Cricetulus griseus: one gene and its partners. The protein of the gene in region 1 binds, or shares a complex with, the protein of each later gene. Links are inferred from orthologs where the notes say so. Each region holds a gene or a part of one and is shown on either strand. Other genes may lie near its edges. The genes, in order: Tmem126b, Ecsit, Ndufaf1, Tmem186 and Acad9.

Region 1 (2,278 bases):
CTGATGAACTTCCAATTCCTCCTTCACATTTAGCTCATGTTACTTTCCCCTATAACATCATCAGCCGAAATAGTAAAGTTACTGTTTTGGTTCCCTCACATTATGTGTGTATCTCTCAAACCATCTTATACCATGTGTTCATATTTCTTATTCCTCTTCTGAGACGTCTTTGGGATCAATTCTTATTACATGCACAATCCCTGATGCATACCAGGTACACACACTATTTTGGCATAGGTAAGACCTGAGGCTCCAAACCCATTTCTTTTCTTTTTCTTTAAGGTTTATTTAATGATTTGTTTATTATGTATACAGGGTTCTGCCTGCATGTGCCAGAAAAAGGCACCAGATCTCATTACCTATGGTTGTCAGCCACCATGTGGTTGCTGGGAATTGAACTCAGGACCTCTAGAAGAGCAGCCAGTGCTCTTTAACCTCTGAGCCATCTCTCCAGTCTCATCAAACCCAATTCTATACACAACAAAGAAAGAAGGATGAAATGTGCACTTGTTTGACATTTATATTTACTGAGTATCTGATAAATACTAGGCAAAAGGAGCAGAGTTACTTTTTACTCTTTGACCAGTGCCCGAGTCCTTTTAAAAAAGTCCATTCTGCCGAATTGGCCTCCACTGATTCTATGGTTAATTTTCAGGCACACTTTTTTCCAAGTAGTTTTTCACATAAAGCATGGTGGTGAGAGCCATGAATCACTCCAAAGACTGCCTGAAATACTAGAGGAGCAGACATTAATTTCATCCCAGTTTGACTAAGGATTAACCAATGGAGTATAACTCTTCCTTTTGGTGGCAGTGGAACGGAATGATACCTGAAAATGAAAAAGAGTAAACCATGTCTCCTGGACTGATACACCACTGAAAGCGTCTGATTTCTCCTAAACTAGTCATTTCTAGTTTATAGGTCTAGTTTATAGGTCTACCATACAGGTAACAAAATTACATGTTAGCAGGCTATTTTGTTTTGTTTAGCCTGTAGCTAAAAAGAATAGTTTATTAGCATCCTCCCCCACCCCCAATAGAAGGAAGGAAGGACTGAATGAATGTAAGAGAAGGGCTGGATAACTCAGTCAGTAAAATGCTTGCCATGTAACCATGAGGACCAAAGTTTGATACTCAGAATCCAGGTTAATGGAAAAAAATAACTGAACATGGTGATGTGCTTATAACCCAGTGCTGGGGAGGCAGAGGCAGAGGCAGAAGGGTCCCTGGGATTCATTGTATAATCAGCCTAATGGCAAGCTCTAGCTCAGTGGTTGTCAACTTTCCTAATGTGGGGACCCTTTAATACAGTTCCTCATGTTGTGATAACCTCCAACCATAAATTATTTTCATTGCTGCTTCATAATTATAATTTTGTTACCATTATGAATAATAATGAATGTAAATATCTGTGTTTTCCTATGATCTTAGGCAACAATTGTGAAAGGGTTGTTTGACCCCCAAAAGGGTTGCTATCCACAGGTTGAGAACCACTGCTGTAGAGCAATGAGAGACCCTGTCTCAAAAATGTAAGGTGAATAGACATGGTGGCATGTGTTCAATCCCAGCACCTTCGAAGGAAGGCAGATTTCTGACTTCAAGGCCTTCTTGGTATACATAATTCCAGGCTATTCATGGCTGCACAGTGAGATCCTGTCTCAAAAACGTAAAATCAGGTAGACAGCTTTTGAGAAATACCACCTGGAGTTGACTTCTGGTTAAATGTTCAACACAGACACAGACATACACACCACATGGTGGTGGTGGGGGAGGGTATAAGAATGAAGGAAAAAGAGAAGGAATGGATAGACTTACTTAACTGCCAAATGTCCATTTTTACGAAAAGCCAGAGCACTGGGATATAAAATACCACATCCCACACCAATCAGTACACTTCTCATAATACAGTTTTCCTTGCTTAAGTTACCTAGAAAGTAACAGAACAATTTGTTTCCTTTTAAGATTTAAGATAACAATTAATATAACGAAGCAGCTGTCTTTCAAAACACAGTTATTTTGCTGTTTGCAACCAAAATTAAACAGCAGAAAGGACTTTAGCAATTCGAAGTCTGGCACTTAACAGGCTTAAATGCATCTTGTTTTAAAACTATACTTGTTATACTTTAAAATATGGAGAATTATCATTTATGTTGATTTTTACAGAAGTAATATCACAGTAAGAATACTATCACATCTGATACCTGGATTCTAGGTGAATAGATACACATATTGTTTACTATGTGTCAGGTATATGTTAGGTACCAAGAATATAAACAGAC
Region 2 (4,178 bases), on another chromosome or scaffold:
GTTGAGCCAGGCATGGTAATGTACTTTTATTCCTAGTATTCAGGAGGAAGAGGCAGGCAGATCTTAGTAAGTTCCAGGCGAGCTAGGGCTGCATAGTGAGAACCCCAGTGAGCTGCTGGGGGCATGGTTCAGTGGTAGAGCCCTTGCCTAGACTGCCCCAGTGAGGGGCTGATGGTAGAATACTTGCTTGGCATATAGTTAGATAAGAAGAATCTAAACCTTTGCTTTGCAGATTGTGTTCTAGGACCTGTAAAATGTTGACTCTTAACTCAGATATCCTGTGTGGGAATATGCACTGTGACAGCCATAGGTGGCTCTTACATGTTTAATCAGAGCAGTGAATACTCTCAGTGAGTGCTCATGGTTCCCTCATGTTTTCACCCCATACCTAAACATAATTTTGGTACAAACCAGCCATCTCAAACTCCAGTCATGGGATACCAACAGACATACCTTTGATCTGGAGGTTAGCCAGGGTTACCACCCTTCCTCACTATTCAAGCCATAAAGCAGGAGTCATTTAGAGTCCACCATGTCCTTATTCAGTCTGTCCAACAGTCCTGGAGACTACTTCCCAATCTGTCCCCTTTGCTGTAGGTCACAGCACCAGGACCGGCTTTGCTTTCCTGCATAGGTGTCCACTCTCTCCTGTCCAGTAGTTACTTCCCTCCATTGGAAAAGAAAGCTCTAACAATGCAAACTAAGGGGCTGGAGAGATGCCTTTATTGGTAAAATGCTTGCCCTGAAAGTCCAAGGACCTGGGTTTGATCCCCAGCACCCACATAAAAAGCCAGGTGAGGTGACATGCACTTGTAATCCCAGCACTGGGGAAGCAGAAATGGGCAGGTCCCTGAGCTCGATGGCCTGCCAGCCTGCCTAATCAGTGAGCCACAGGTCCCAGTGAAAAGACCCTGTCTCAAAGCACAAAGTGGACTGCTCCTGAGGAACAACATCCAAGTTTGACATTTGTCCTCCTATACACATGTGCATATGTGTACATGCACTAACATACATCCACATACCCACACATGAACACATAAAAATGCTGGGTGTGATGGCACATACCTGTAATCCCAGCACTCAGGAGACACAGGCAGACAGATGTCTGAGTTTGAGGTGAGCCTGATCTACATAGACACAGCAAGTTCCAGACCAACCAGGGTACATAGTAGGACTCTACCTCAAAAAGGAAAAAAACAAAAAAACAAAAAAACAAGACTTGAGACAAGTGTTGTGGCTGTAAAGCCAGCAGTGTGGAGTCTGAGGCAGGAGGAATTGCATCCAGTATCAGACCAGCTGGTAGTAATTAGTGAGCTCATGACAGTGTTGAGTTACCATAAAGTCCCGTCTAAACTGTAAATAAATAAGAGCCAGGACAGAAGATTCAACTGAGAAAGGTACTTGCTGCTGCAACAATGCAAGCCTAATGACCTGAGTTCAATCCCAGGAACCAGCATAAGGTGTATGGATAAAACTCCCTGGCTCTCCTCTGACCTCCACCATGCAACATGGCACACATGTGTGTCCCACCCCACCCCAATAACTAAAAAACTTCAAAGTAAGTAAATATCAGAAAGGGTGGGTAGGGAGGCTGGAGAGATGGCTCAGTGGTTAAGAGCACTGACTGCTCTTCCAAAGGACCAGCACCCACATGGCAGCTAACAACTGTCTGTAACTCCAGTTCCAAGGAATCCAACACCCTTATACAGGCAAACCAATGTACATGAAATAAAAATAAGTTAATTAAATAAATAAATCGACCTCATATGGAGTCTACCTGCTGAACTGCCCCTATCCTTGTAGCTCCAGCCACACTGTTTCTGAAACAAGACAAGTTTATTGGTCTCACAGGCTTTGAACTTGTTTTACCCTCTGCCTACTGCTTATCATCTTGGTGCGTGCCTGTAATCCAGCACTCAGAAGGCTGGAGCAGGAAGATCGAGGCCAAGCCAGGCGGTGGTGGAACGCGCCTTTAATCCCAGCACTCGGGAGGCAGAGGCAGGCAGATAGATCTCTGTGAGTTTGAAAACAGCCTGGTCTACAAGAGCTAGTTCCAGGACAGCCTCCAAAGCCACAGAGAAACCCTGTCTCTAACACCCGCCCCACCCCGCGCCCCCCCCCAAAAAAAGAGTTCGAGGCCAGCTTGGGATACATAAAGACTCTTGTTTCATGGAACACACTGCAACAATCATTATTTGAAGTCACGAAATGATCTGCTCCGTTTGCGATCTGCTCAGCAATTGCCTCTCTTAGATAATATATTTTTTAATCTGTTTTTCTCATTTATATGCCTCCACCAGCAGGGACAGTGCCCTAGTACATGGTAAGTGCCCAACACCGACCATCTGAGTACGGATAAGCAGATGAATCCTTACAGCGAGGTGGCGTGTATGTACGTGTGTGCGTGGGCTGCCGCGCTCCCAGGTCTCCAAAGCCTGCCTCACCGCACAAGGGCTGCGTGGCCTCCCTGAGCTGCTCCAGCACCCGCGAAACCGGACATTTAAGCACACGGTGCCGAGCAGCCTTTCCTCGCCCGTCCCCAAGCACGAGCCCCAAAGGTCACGGGGCCCTCACCCTGCGGCCGAGGTGAAGGCTGTCCTCTCCGGCTCTACCAGGCCTGGAGGTGGACGCCCTTGAACCCCAGACTGTCCCATCGCCCTCCCACGCGCGACCCACCTACTCACGCGGCCGACGGCGGTACACAGCCGGCTAGGTGCCACCGCTGGCAGCCCTCATGTTCTGTCACAGAGCTTCCGGTTACCGGCCGAAGGCGACAGCAAATCGGAAAAGCCAGAGACGATAGGTCCCGCCCTCAAGGAGACGCTCACCAATAGGAAGGAGGGAGAGCACTGATCCCTGCCCCTCACCCAACTGCGGGAGCCTGGGGCCTTGGGTTCCTGCCGCGGCGGCGCCGAGTCCGTCCCGTCCAGTTTCCTCACCCGAAGTGTGATGGAATGTCAGTTGTTACAGACGAAATACTGTTAGGGACCTGAAGCACCACGTCCGGTTCAGTGCAGAGTGGGGATGGAACCCAGGGCTTCTTGCGTGCTGAGCAAGCACACTCCCAACCAGCCCCAAGCCCCAGGGTGTATTAATGTTACCAAACAATTGCTTTTGAGTTGTTTGAGTCAGGGTCTTGCTATGGTGCTCAGGCTATTCTCAAAACCCCGGACTCCAGAAGTCCTGAGGGTTCAACCTCCCGAGTAGCTGGAACTTCAGGTGGGCCGCGCCGCCAGCAGCTTTAACAGGGTTCCTTCCAAGTTATGTTTGTTTATTTTGTGTGCGTCTAAGTGAGCACATTCGCGTGGAGGCCAGAGGACAATTTAGGGGAAATGGTCCTTCCATCAAGTGGATACTGGGGATGAAACTTGGGTCATTATGCATGGTTGCAAGCACTTTTAGCCCCCTTTAATCTGAATCTTTGAGATTTGAATTCATCTATGTAAAATAGCCATATAAGTACAACAAGGGCTACTGTGAGAAAAGGACATGCATTCCTGGCACCCCTCTCTCCCTCCCCAACAGGGAGTCTGGGTTTACTCTTCAAACTGCCTACACTGAGGGCTGAGAGGCCTTTGGAGTGTATGTGTAGGTGATGTGATCATGCCCTGGAACTGTTGTGTGCGTGTATAGATAATATTGATTATGTATATAAACACATATATATCGAATTATTATATGTATGTCTAATGATTGAATGTGGAGTCTTGTTTTTGAAAGGGGAAAATTAATAAAAGTCTAAAACCTGGACTCCAAAGCCCAAATAGAAAATTCTGAGTTCCCAAAAGGCAGCCCAGCAGACAAGGTTAAACAAAGGTCCACAGGACCAGATATCACACTCTTGAGCAGTGTCGACATTCCTCTGGTCCAAAGAGGATCAGATAGTTATCAATTGTAGAAGTCCCCAGCCCAGGAGATAATTAACAAACTCATTTCCTCTGCAGCATCCTGCTTAATTGCACCTTGCCTGAAGCACATACCATTGTCCTGTCCTGTGTAACCACGGAAGTTTTGAAATCTTCGGGCTTCCAGCCCTACAATTTTGCCTTATAAAAACAGCCCTCAGTCGAAAATTGGTACTCCATTTGTAATCTAATGTCCAGGCATAGTGGCACACGCCTTTAGTCCCAGCACTTGGGAAGCAGAAGCAGGCAGATCTCTGTGAGCTCAAGGCCTGT
Region 3 (2,409 bases), on another chromosome or scaffold:
CTGTGAGGAGGATTAAAGGAAATCAGGCATGTAAATTGTTTGAATGGGTGTTCGCTATTATTGTGTGTGTATGAGGGGGGAGGGAGGGACGAGAGTGTGTGAGCATGTGGAGGCCAGAAGGTAACGTTGGGATGTCTTCCTGTATCACTGCCTGCCTTGCTTTTGGAGACAAGGTCCTCCCCCTGAACCTGGAGCTCACAGTTTTGTCTAGACTGGCTGACCAGTGAACCCCCAGGTCTTCCTGTCTTCCTGTCTCTGTGAGTGAGGAGTTACAGGTGGATACTGCAGGATACCTAGTTTTGAATGTGGGTGCTGGGGATCTGAACTCAGGTCCTTATACTTTTGCAGCAAGCACTGAGACATCTTCCCAGCCTCTTGATTTTTAAAACCTGAGCTTGATTTTTGATGGGTAAGGTAGTTGTCATTAAATGGGCCACTCAGAAGCCATTGTGTCTTAGAACTAGGGAGGAAAATTACATTAATTTCCATTCAGCAAACACAAATGGATGTCATATGGAAGCATTGTCCTAGCTTAATCATGCCTTCAACAATTACCTTAGAAACATGTCAGTATTCTATACTAAAATACTGGTTTATTTGTCTCTTCGTGGTAGAAAATATACATGGAGCCAGGTATATAAAAATATACCTTTAATCCCAGTACTCGGGAGGCAGAGACAGGCGGGTCTCTGTGAGTTCAAGGCCAGCCTGGTCTACAGAGCAAGTGCCAGGATAAGCTCCAAAGCCACAGAGAAACCCTGTCTCAAAAAACCCCCCCAAAAAAAAAAAAAGAAAAAGAAAAAGAAAAAAATATATACATGGAATGCCCTAGTGGGTCTGGAAGATGGCTCAGTAGCTAAGGCACTTGCTGGTAAGCCTGAAGACCCAAGTTTAATCTCTGGAACCCACATGGAGAAATGAAAGACCAACAAAAGTTGTCCTCTGATGTCATATGTGCCCCTCTCCCCATAACAATACAGCATACTCGGTGGTAACTTGGTGATAACCATGCAAACTAACTTTTCTGTACCCTAGCGTTCTTTTGAGAGGAAGCAGTATTATGATTGGTCCCTGTTCAATTCTCTGTATCTCCGAGTCCGTGGGGATGGCCGGCCTTGGATGGTGAATATCAGGCAAGATACAGACTTTATCCAGAGGAAAAATCAGATGTACAGTTACTTCATGTTCACCCGTGGGGGGCCCTACTGGCAGGAAGTCAAGGTAAAATTTCAGTTCTTCACTGTTTGGGAAAATGGGGTTCATTGAAACTATGGTTACATTGTAGTTTCCTTTTTCATACTAATCATTCTTTTTTAACATTTTTTATCTATTTTTATTTTACGAGTATTGGTAGTTCATCTACATGAATGTTTGTGTGTCAGTATTGTATCCCCTGGAACTGGAGTTACAGACAGGCTTGCCATGTGGGTGCTGGGAATTGAACCTGGGTCCTCTGGAAGACCAGCCAGTGCTTTCAACCACTGAGCCATCTCTCCAACCCATACTAATCATTCTTACATAAAATAGAGGCAGAAGTAAGGGGAAATTTTTTTTTTAAGGACTTATTCTGCCTGCATATATTCCTGTGGGCCAGAAGAGGGCACCAGATCTCATTATAGATGGTTGTGAGCCCATCATGTGGTTGCTAGGAATTGAACTCAGAACCTCTGGAAAAACAGTCAGTGCTCTTAACCTCTGAGCCATCTCTCCAGCCAGTCCTTGGAGAGAGATTTAAAGGACAAATGTTTTGTTTTTCCATTAATAAAAATGAGCCAGGCTGGGTGGTGATGGTACACACCTTTAATCCCAACATTTTAGAGGTAGAGGCAAGTGCTTTCTGTGAATTTGAGGCCAGCCTGGTCTACGTAGTTAGTTCCAGTACAGCCAGGACTGCATAGAGAGATGCTAACTCTAAATAAACAAATTTATGTGTGTATGTATCGTAATTTAGGTTATTATTGTGATGAAATACCATAACCAAAAGCAAGCTGGGAAGGAAAGGGTTTATTTCACTCACAGTTCCATACACCAGTTCGTTATCAAAGGCAGTGAGGACAGGAACTCAATCAGGTCTGGTACTTGGAGGTAGGAGCAGATGCAGAGGCCATGGAGGAGTGCTGCTTATTGGCTTGCTCCTCGTGGCTTTCCCAGCCTGATTTCTTATAGAATGCAGGACCACCAGCCCAGGGATTGTACTGCCCACCATGGGCTGTGCCCTCCCCCACCAATCGCTAATAAGAGAATGCTCCACAGGCTTCCCTACAGCCTGATCTTATAGAGGCATTTTCTCCATTGAACTTCCCTCCTCTTGGATGACTTGTGTCAAGTTGCCATAAAACTAGTCAGCACTAGCCGGGTGTTGGTGGCGCACGCCTTTAATTCCAGCACTCGGGAGGCAGAGGCAGGCGG
Region 4 (4,188 bases), on another chromosome or scaffold:
TTCCTCTTTATACAGGCACAATTCACCTAATAAGCATGTGTGTTACCCATTATGAAAAGCAGCATACACAGTCTCCTTCAGCTGATAAGTTGCTTGGTGTCCCTCTGTCCTGATGACACTGCAAAGCTCCCCAGTTTAAGCGGCCCTGGATCTCCTGGTGGTCAGCATTCTCAGCCGGGTGCTGTCCCTACCTCAGTTGGAGTGGGCTTCAGTGCTGGCCATCTAGCTGGTGAGCACAAGGGGTGCAGGGCAGGCTAGAAGCCTTTATCGATGCTGTAAGCCTGTAATTCCACAGTCTGTGTTCCTCTGCCAACCCTCCTGCCTCTGGTTTCATAGCAGTGGGCTGCCTCTGTGACCTTGGCATAGCATTCCTCCAAGAAGTGCCTCTTCATAAAAACTTCTAGTCACTATCTGTTGGAATGTCCTATTCAGTACAATGTTCCACTAAGGGCTTTTTCCTAAAGTTGGTTAATATCTTCTTTTTTGCCCCAACACAACTTTGAACTTCTCCACCTGCCTCCATCTACATGGAGAAGTACAAACACGCACAACCATGCCTGGTTATATGCAGTTCTAGGGATTCAACCCAGGGTTTCCCTTCCTGCATGCTAGACAAGCAGTCTACCAATTGAGCTTCAGCCCCAGGCCCTGGTTATTAGCTTCTGCCTCATTAATGTTTTTGGCCTTCCTGTCTAAAATCCAAGTGTAACCAGGGCTACCAAAGGCCTAGTTGGTTTTTTTTGTTTGTTTGTTTGTTTGTTTGTTTTTTGGTTTTTCGAGACAGGGTTTCTCTGTGTAGCTTTGGAGACTATCCTGGCACTCGATCTGGAGACTAAGCTGGTCTCGAACTCACAGAGATCCACCTGCCTCTGCCTCCCGAGTGCTGGGATTAAAGGCATGCGCCACCAATGCCCAGCTTAGTTGTTTTTCTTAAGTGTGGTTGGGTTTCCAAACACTTGTGAGAAACGTTCTCTGTCCAGGATTCGGCCATAGCGCAGGGTGACATAGAAGGTCTTCTTGCTACCATATTGCTGGATTCGTACCAACAGATCCTGGGCATGTTCCTTGGATTCTGACAGGGGTATTATGTCTGACACAGCACAATACGTATCTTGTCGCCACCCAAAGAAGGACAGGTGGGCCACTCGAAGCACAGTACCTGACTCATTCACATACATGAAGCCCACCAGCCTCTGGAAGAAGTAGCTCATCCAACACAGCATGGCCAGGGTGAAGCAAGAGACTCCACTCATAAGGTAGAGTGACTTGACACTCAGGAGGCCCTGTGAGTACCAGTACAAGCCTGGGGGTAGGGCTGTCACAGTCAGAAATGTCTGGGCCAACTTCAGTCGAGATAGAAACCCAAATCTTTTGATGGCTCTGAATCGGTAGATTGTATGGAATTTCTCCGTCTCTGTGCCTGGTGGCTTCTCCTGCAAGGTGGGAGCCTTGCTAGCCACCCACCTGTTGGAATCCCCCTGCCCAGTGCAGCACCACAGCCGATGAAGAGGTCTCCCCCATGTGGCTGGCCCCTGAAATCTTGGCACAGCTCGAAGGAAGACAGACTGGAAAAGAGAGTTTCTTTCAGAATTCAACCATAATAATCACACAAGGAACAAGGCAAAGCTTCCTCCAGAAAGGCTCCAACCAACCCTAGAAAGCCATTGGGGCTTCACTTTTTGTGGAATTCTGCTCTGGATAAGTGCATACTCCTGTTTTTACAAGTAAACAAACAAACAAAGAAACCCTAATCCCAGCCAGTGAGATATCCCATAAGTAAAGGTGCTTGCCACCAAGCCAGATGACTTGAATTGCACTTCTGGAGCCAACACAGTATCGGAAGAAAAATTACTCATGCAGGGATGTCCTTGAGCCTCCACATGCCACGGCACAAGCATATGCACATTGAACACACCAGGATTTTTTTTTTTTAAATTAAAAACTAAGTCCCCTCCCCCGCAAGGGCACGGAAACTCAACAGAATGAATGGGGCCAGGTCTCTCAGGCCGGTCCTTTCCCTTAGGCAGGTCCAAGTAAACACAGGAAAGGTTTACTTTCAGACATTCAGTAAAGACCTACTGACGAGCCAGCAGTGGACTCGAACTTAGGTCCACAAGTCTGTGGGACACTTCCTCAAGGAGTAAACCAATCGGTGTCACAGTGGGAAACCCAAGCATCAAAACTTTGGGGTACTTATCACAGTACCTTTGCATTTCTCCCGACTTCTTTATACGGTAGAACTACTATCTATTAGCCTGGTTGGGAAAGGGGGAACAGCGGAGAAATGCGACACGGAGGCCTTCAAAACACTGCACAACATTTTTCTGGATGAGTAGCAAGTGAGCAAATTCTGAGCTTCAGAGTCAGAGGCGGGCTCTCACGGACACTAGCTGTGCATCCTTGTGCACCTTTCCAAAGAAAGCCTCAGAATATGCTGAGCGAGACATGGTAATCTTAGGCCCTGGACTTGATGCGCGCCCGAGGAGTCGTAGCGACTCTGACCGCCCACGTGACCCAAGGGGAACGGAGGAGGCTGGGAAATAACAGATCATAATACACTTCCCGAATCGGCGGCCCAGGCATCCTTCCTGCCAGTCCTAGGCTCGACCAGGGTCCCCTAACTGCGTACCCTCTTTCACCGCCCACTACCGGCCCTCCGTACCATGATACGGTCTCCTGCTGTGAAAAGTAAACCGACTTGTCCCCGGAAACTCGAAGAGCGCATGAGCGGAAAGTTAAAAAAAAATCCGCATGCGCAAACCAAAAACAAAGTGTTAGATCTCGGGGATTGTAGTTTAAATCTTGTGTCTATGTGAGTGTTCGGTGAGTCACTAGGGAATCATCGTTTTCCCGTCGTGCCTTGGGCTACGGGGCTCGGAATGAACCCGGAAGTTCCGGGTGGAGTTCCGGGTGCCAACAAATCTTCCGAGTGGAATCATGGCCGCGCTCTGTCTCTTCGACGTGGATGGGACCCTGACTGCCCCGCGGCAGGTAGGCGGCGCCCGGGAGGCTCGCGGCTGTGGAGCGGAGCCCGTGCAGAACCCAGACCGCGGTGACCACCGCCCGGGGACCAGGAGACGTGGGTCCTGAGCGGGGTGCGCAGGAAGACGGGGCAAAAAACGACCTCTTCCGAACAGGAAAGAGTTCGGAGTCTTAAAGTTCGGGTCTGAATTTCTTTGGGGGTCCTGGGGACTGGTGGCCCGGATTGTAACTCCAGTTTAGCCCCCCCGACCTGCTGTACCACTTTCCCAGCCCTGTCACCTTTGGCTGTGTCGTCTAGTATATCAAAGGCAGGTTTTCAGATGTCTGACCTTGAGCAAATCACTTCCTCGGAGTCCCCAGTCCACTTTAAACGGGTGTATTGCCTGTTGCATGGGGTGTGTGTGAGGATAACAGAAATTCGTGACAGTGCCGCGCCCACATCAAGCCTCAAAGAGGAGACGCTTGCACCACCCCAACCCCTTCTCTACCACAATCAGCCTTTCTGAGCCACAGTTTGAATTATCTAGTGATGGCATTCAACCACAAGTTCTCCAGAACCCTTACTCAGCTTCATTGCTCAATGCACACTTATGAGTTAAGTCGATAGTAAGGTGGGCAGGTGGCATAGGGTTTAATCCCTGCAGGAGGATTTGAGGGTTCAGAGCCTGGGCCATATAGTGAGTTTGAGGCAAACCTGGGGAACTTGCCTCAAAACAAGAGCCAATAGTAGTCTAGAGCTGGAAGCGGAAATCATATATTGTAAAGGGCTTTTGTCTTTGTAGAACATATGACCTGTAGTAACTACTCAACTTTAGTGCAAAAACAGCCATAGACCAAATGTAAACTGAGTAGCTATGTTCTAATAAATTTATTAAGAGGCCGCTTAGATGGCCCAGTGGGTAGAGTCATTAAACCCTAAGCCTTGGGACCTGAGTTCAATTCCTGGAACCCACATGGTAGAATGACAGAACCAACTCCCACAAGTTGTCTTCTTACCTCTCCTTGTACATTGTGGCACATGTACATGCGTATACATACATAATAAAAATAAAATTATTATAGAAACAAACTTGTTCAGTTGGCCCAGGAGACATAGTGGCCAGGAGTCTACATTTCTAAGCCTTTGTACAGTGTTGAACTTGCAGTTTTGCTAAGATTAAAGGTGCATGCCCCCACCACCCAGCTTCTACCATTCAAATGTAAGGA
Region 5 (3,521 bases), on another chromosome or scaffold:
TGGAGACTCTTGTGGTATTGCCCTTAGCTCTGAACAAAGTCTGCCTCACATCAAAATTTCCCCACCCTTCTATGAATTATGGCCTCAAGAGCAAACCCTGCTGGACTATACTACCTAGCCAGGATCTTTGAGAAATCCAGGCCTCTCCCTATAGGAAGGGCCAATAGAGAGGCAACCCCAAGACAAAATTCAGACATGCCTGGCTCTTTGGGCAGCCCAGCCTTCTGCTATTAGGCTGTGGCTGACTGAAAAGGCAGAGATGTTGACTGGGACCAAAAGACCAAGGAGACCTTCCATTGGAGCTCACAGGAGTCAGCTTAACTTCAATTTACTGAGAGTGAAATCATAGCCTAGGGAGTACAGAATGGAAGCAGAGTGGGATCTGGGACTGGAACCCCTACTCTCCTACAGATTTATCCAATCCTGCCCAGCCAGAAGTAACTTGGCAAAACTACAACTGGGAAGTTATGGGCCCAGTAGAAAGGGCTTTCAGGAGTGTGACCTGAGGGGGCTGTTCGGGCTCTCCCAGTCTAAATTCCCCTCTACAAAGCAAGGGAGGGTGGGAGCACTGGTGTATGGTTAAGAGGGTCCAACCAGAGGATACAGCCTGCCCTGTATCATTGTAGGCTATTTCTGGAGACTTAGCAGCCTCTCTCAGGGCTCGGAAGGCTGGAAGAGCAGAGGGACATCACTAAGGTGGTGTACGGGGAAGCACAGTCGGCAGGGACACTCACCTCAAAGATGAGGAGGATGCGGGAATCACGCAGAAAACGCTCATAGGGGTAGTCCTTCATGTAGCCGGAGCCCCCAAGGATCTGCAGAGCCTCGCTCACACACTGCCAGGCAGCCTCAGAGCTAAATACCTGTCACAGACCCAGACAAGGTTAGAGCCTGGTGGGAGTGTTCCACAAGACATTCCCTTCAGTCTTGTAAGAGCAAGACCTAAGCTACAGGGAGCTGCTGCCCAGGATGCAGTCAGAGAATGTGCAGAAAACCTGAGCTTGGAGACGAGTGGTTCCAGGAGGAACTTTCCAGGTAGGCACAGTCAAGTCCTTTTGCCTTCTTGGACCAGTGACCAGACTGTGTTCCATCCCCAACACTTGTGTCATGTCTCTTGTGCCAACTCCTATGCTTTGTAATTCACCCAGATTTTCCCTTTAGGAAGTGTGATTACTCTTGCCATCCCCACGGACTTCCATTTTGCTCTCATGAGCACTGTCTATGGAACATCCTATGGATAGAGACACTCAGCTCTAGGGTTAGCATGTGGAAGAGGGTCAGCTCTTGGACACCAGTCAGTAGTTGGTGTCCAAGGAAAACATGAGAATGAAATGAATCCCACCCAGCACACAGCTGCCCCTGTTCCTAAGCTTAAACAGGACCACTTCAGACTCTCCAATGTCCATTTCTCTAGGCTGTCACATCTTCCAGCATCTCTCTTAAGAATTCAAGTCCAGCTGAAAGTGGGGTTGTTACTTGTATCATAGCTTTAAAAAAAGACCCTTACTCAACCCTACCTTCTAGCCCATTCCTTTAAGTCATCTGCCAATTTCTACAAACACTTTCTACCTGGGACCCCCAGTGGCCACACAGGACCTGGACTCAGAAGCACTCAGTACCAGACAACCCACAGCCTAGAGATCCTTTCCTGAGATCCAGAGAGGGCAAAAGAAACTAAGAAACAGAACTCATACCCAACAAAGACAAGACCAGATGCCTACACCTAGAATTATCTTAAATATCATAACTATAAATGCCTAGACACCAGAACAAAAATGCAAACATGTCAAGACAATGTGTCCCCTCCAGAACCCAGTAACCTTACTACAGTGGACCCTGAGAAATTCTACATAGTTGAAGCATAAGACAAGGATGTTAAAAAGGATACCAATAAACCTCAATGAAATCTGTGAAAACACAAACAGTATAATCAAATAGTGAAAACAGCTCAAGACATGAAAGTAGAAACAGAACCACTAAAGAAAACCCAAACTGAAATAAAACTGGAAATGGAAAATTTAGGAAGTCAAACAAAAACCTCAGCGGTCAGCCTTGCTAAAAGAGTATGAGACACAGAGGACAGAATATCAGGCATTGAAGATAGAAGAAATGGTCAAAGAAAATGTTAAATCTAAAAAACTCAGGCACAAAACATCCAGGAAAAGACCAAATTTACATAAAAGGAATAGAAGAAGAAACCCAGGTCTAAGGCGCAGAAAATATTTAACAAAACAGAAGAAAACTTCCCCAACCTCAAAACAAAACAAAACAAAAAAACCCAAGCAAGAAATTGCTATCTAAACACATATATATTTTACTGTGTGTGTTTTCAATAGGAATTTTACTGTTTATCTTGACTACACCTTGATATTATAAAATTAACTAACCAATAATAGGTGACATGTTATGTTAGGTACTCTAAGCTGTTTATTAGCACCTTTAGCTTTCTCAATAATTTTATGTTGGTACTTTTACTATCTCCATTTCATAGATAATAATGGAGGCTCAGAGATATTAAGTGACTTGTTCTAGGTGACATGGTTAGGGAATAGCAAATCTAGGATTTGAGTCCAGGCTCCAAAGTTTATTTCTGCTGTTTAGCATGTAATGGCCAAGCTGTGCTTTTCTCAGGTCTTCCCTGACACCAACATTTAAGCATCCATATCCTTGGAAACTGCCGTTTTAGGCCACCCAAGATGACTGATCTCTTTGGCCTCTCAGATACAGCTTTCCATGGTCAACTATTTAGTAAATAAAGCCACAATTACCCCTTTACTCCTGTTCACTGATGGTTAATAAGAAAGGTTGTTGGACAACGTGAAGAGAGGGAGAGACTTCGAAGCACTCAGCCCTACTCTTAAGGCTCAGGAATGAATGCGGAAGAGGCGGTAGAAAGATTGTAAGAGCCAGAGGTAGTCGATGATTTCAAGGAAACAGTTTCCAGAGACAATAGGACCGATACACATATAAACTCACAGGGACTACAGCAGCATGTACAAGACCTGCACAAGTTCAAGCCAGACAAAACCCCAACATGGAGAAAGGGAAGTGGGCACAAATAAGACCTAGCCAAGAAGCAACTGATTGCAGCTGGGAGAGAGAAATCAGTTTTCTTTAATGGAACATCACTGGCATAGCACCCCAACTCCACCCAAGCCCCACGCTCAGTAGGTATACAACACAAACAAGGCTCCCGGGTTAGTTCTGGGAGAAGTGGGGGTTTAAAGGAGAGAAAGAACATGAAATTGAGTGTGTAGGAAGTGAAGGAGGATTTAAAGGGATTTGAAGAGGGGGAAGTACATGATCAAAAGAGATTATATGAAATTCTCAAAAAATAAAAAAAATATTTAAAAAATTAAAAAAAAAACCAAAGCTAGAGGGTTGTGAAAATCAACTTAGAGGCTCTTGCTATTACAGTAAGTATATCAGAAAACTCCGAGAAACCAAGGGAAATAGTCCCAACTGATAGTGATGACCCAAAGTTAATGGATCTGGCAGAAAAGTGGCTGAACAAAGGAGTA

Evidence for each region.
Region 2: Tmem126b (region 1) and Ecsit share a complex: the UniProt entries of both Homo sapiens proteins name them as parts of the mitochondrial complex. The link is inferred for Cricetulus griseus from reciprocal best matches to the Homo sapiens genes TMEM126B and ECSIT.
Region 3: Tmem126b (region 1) and Ndufaf1 share a complex: the UniProt entries of both Homo sapiens proteins name them as parts of the mitochondrial complex. The link is inferred for Cricetulus griseus from reciprocal best matches to the Homo sapiens genes TMEM126B and NDUFAF1.
Region 4: Tmem126b (region 1) and Tmem186 share a complex: the UniProt entries of both Homo sapiens proteins name them as parts of the mitochondrial complex. The link is inferred for Cricetulus griseus from reciprocal best matches to the Homo sapiens genes TMEM126B and TMEM186.
Region 5: Tmem126b (region 1) and Acad9 share a complex: the UniProt entries of both Homo sapiens proteins name them as parts of the mitochondrial complex. The link is inferred for Cricetulus griseus from reciprocal best matches to the Homo sapiens genes TMEM126B and ACAD9.

Annotation. Positions count from the first base shown.
Region 1 is NC_048596.1:108,635,578-108,637,855, reverse strand, and holds the end of Tmem126b (complex I assembly factor TMEM126B, mitochondrial), read right to left. Parts: intron 1,927-2,278; coding exon 1,815-1,926; intron 830-1,814; coding exon 652-829; 3' UTR 503-651; downstream 1-502. UniProt on the Homo sapiens protein: As part of the MCIA complex, involved in the assembly of the mitochondrial complex I. Participates in constructing the membrane arm of complex I.
Region 2 is NC_048597.1:134,979,051-134,983,228, forward strand, and holds the start of Ecsit (evolutionarily conserved signaling intermediate in Toll pathway, mitochondrial), read right to left. Parts: upstream 2,808-4,178; 5' UTR 2,685-2,807; exon of another isoform or gene 2,677-2,684; intron 1,181-2,676; exon of another isoform or gene 1,066-1,180; intron 1-1,065.
Region 3 is NC_048599.1:58,829,679-58,832,087, forward strand, and holds part of Ndufaf1 (complex I intermediate-associated protein 30, mitochondrial), read left to right. Parts: intron 1-1,035; coding exon 1,036-1,221; intron 1,222-2,409. UniProt on the Homo sapiens protein: As part of the MCIA complex, involved in the assembly of the mitochondrial complex I.
Region 4 is NC_048600.1:38,136,641-38,140,828, reverse strand, and holds the start of Tmem186 (transmembrane protein 186), read right to left. Parts: upstream 2,814-4,188; 5' UTR 2,726-2,813; coding exon 2,663-2,725; intron 1,566-2,662; coding exon 918-1,565; 3' UTR 1-917. Other genes in the region: Pmm2 (phosphomannomutase 2), read left to right, coding at 2,938-2,991. UniProt on the Homo sapiens protein: As part of the MCIA complex, required for efficient assembly of the mitochondrial complex I.
Region 5 is NW_023276806.1:113,480,761-113,484,281, forward strand, and holds part of Acad9 (complex I assembly factor ACAD9, mitochondrial), read right to left. Parts: intron 864-3,521; coding exon 735-863; intron 1-734. UniProt on the Homo sapiens protein: As part of the MCIA complex, primarily participates in the assembly of the mitochondrial complex I and therefore plays a role in oxidative phosphorylation.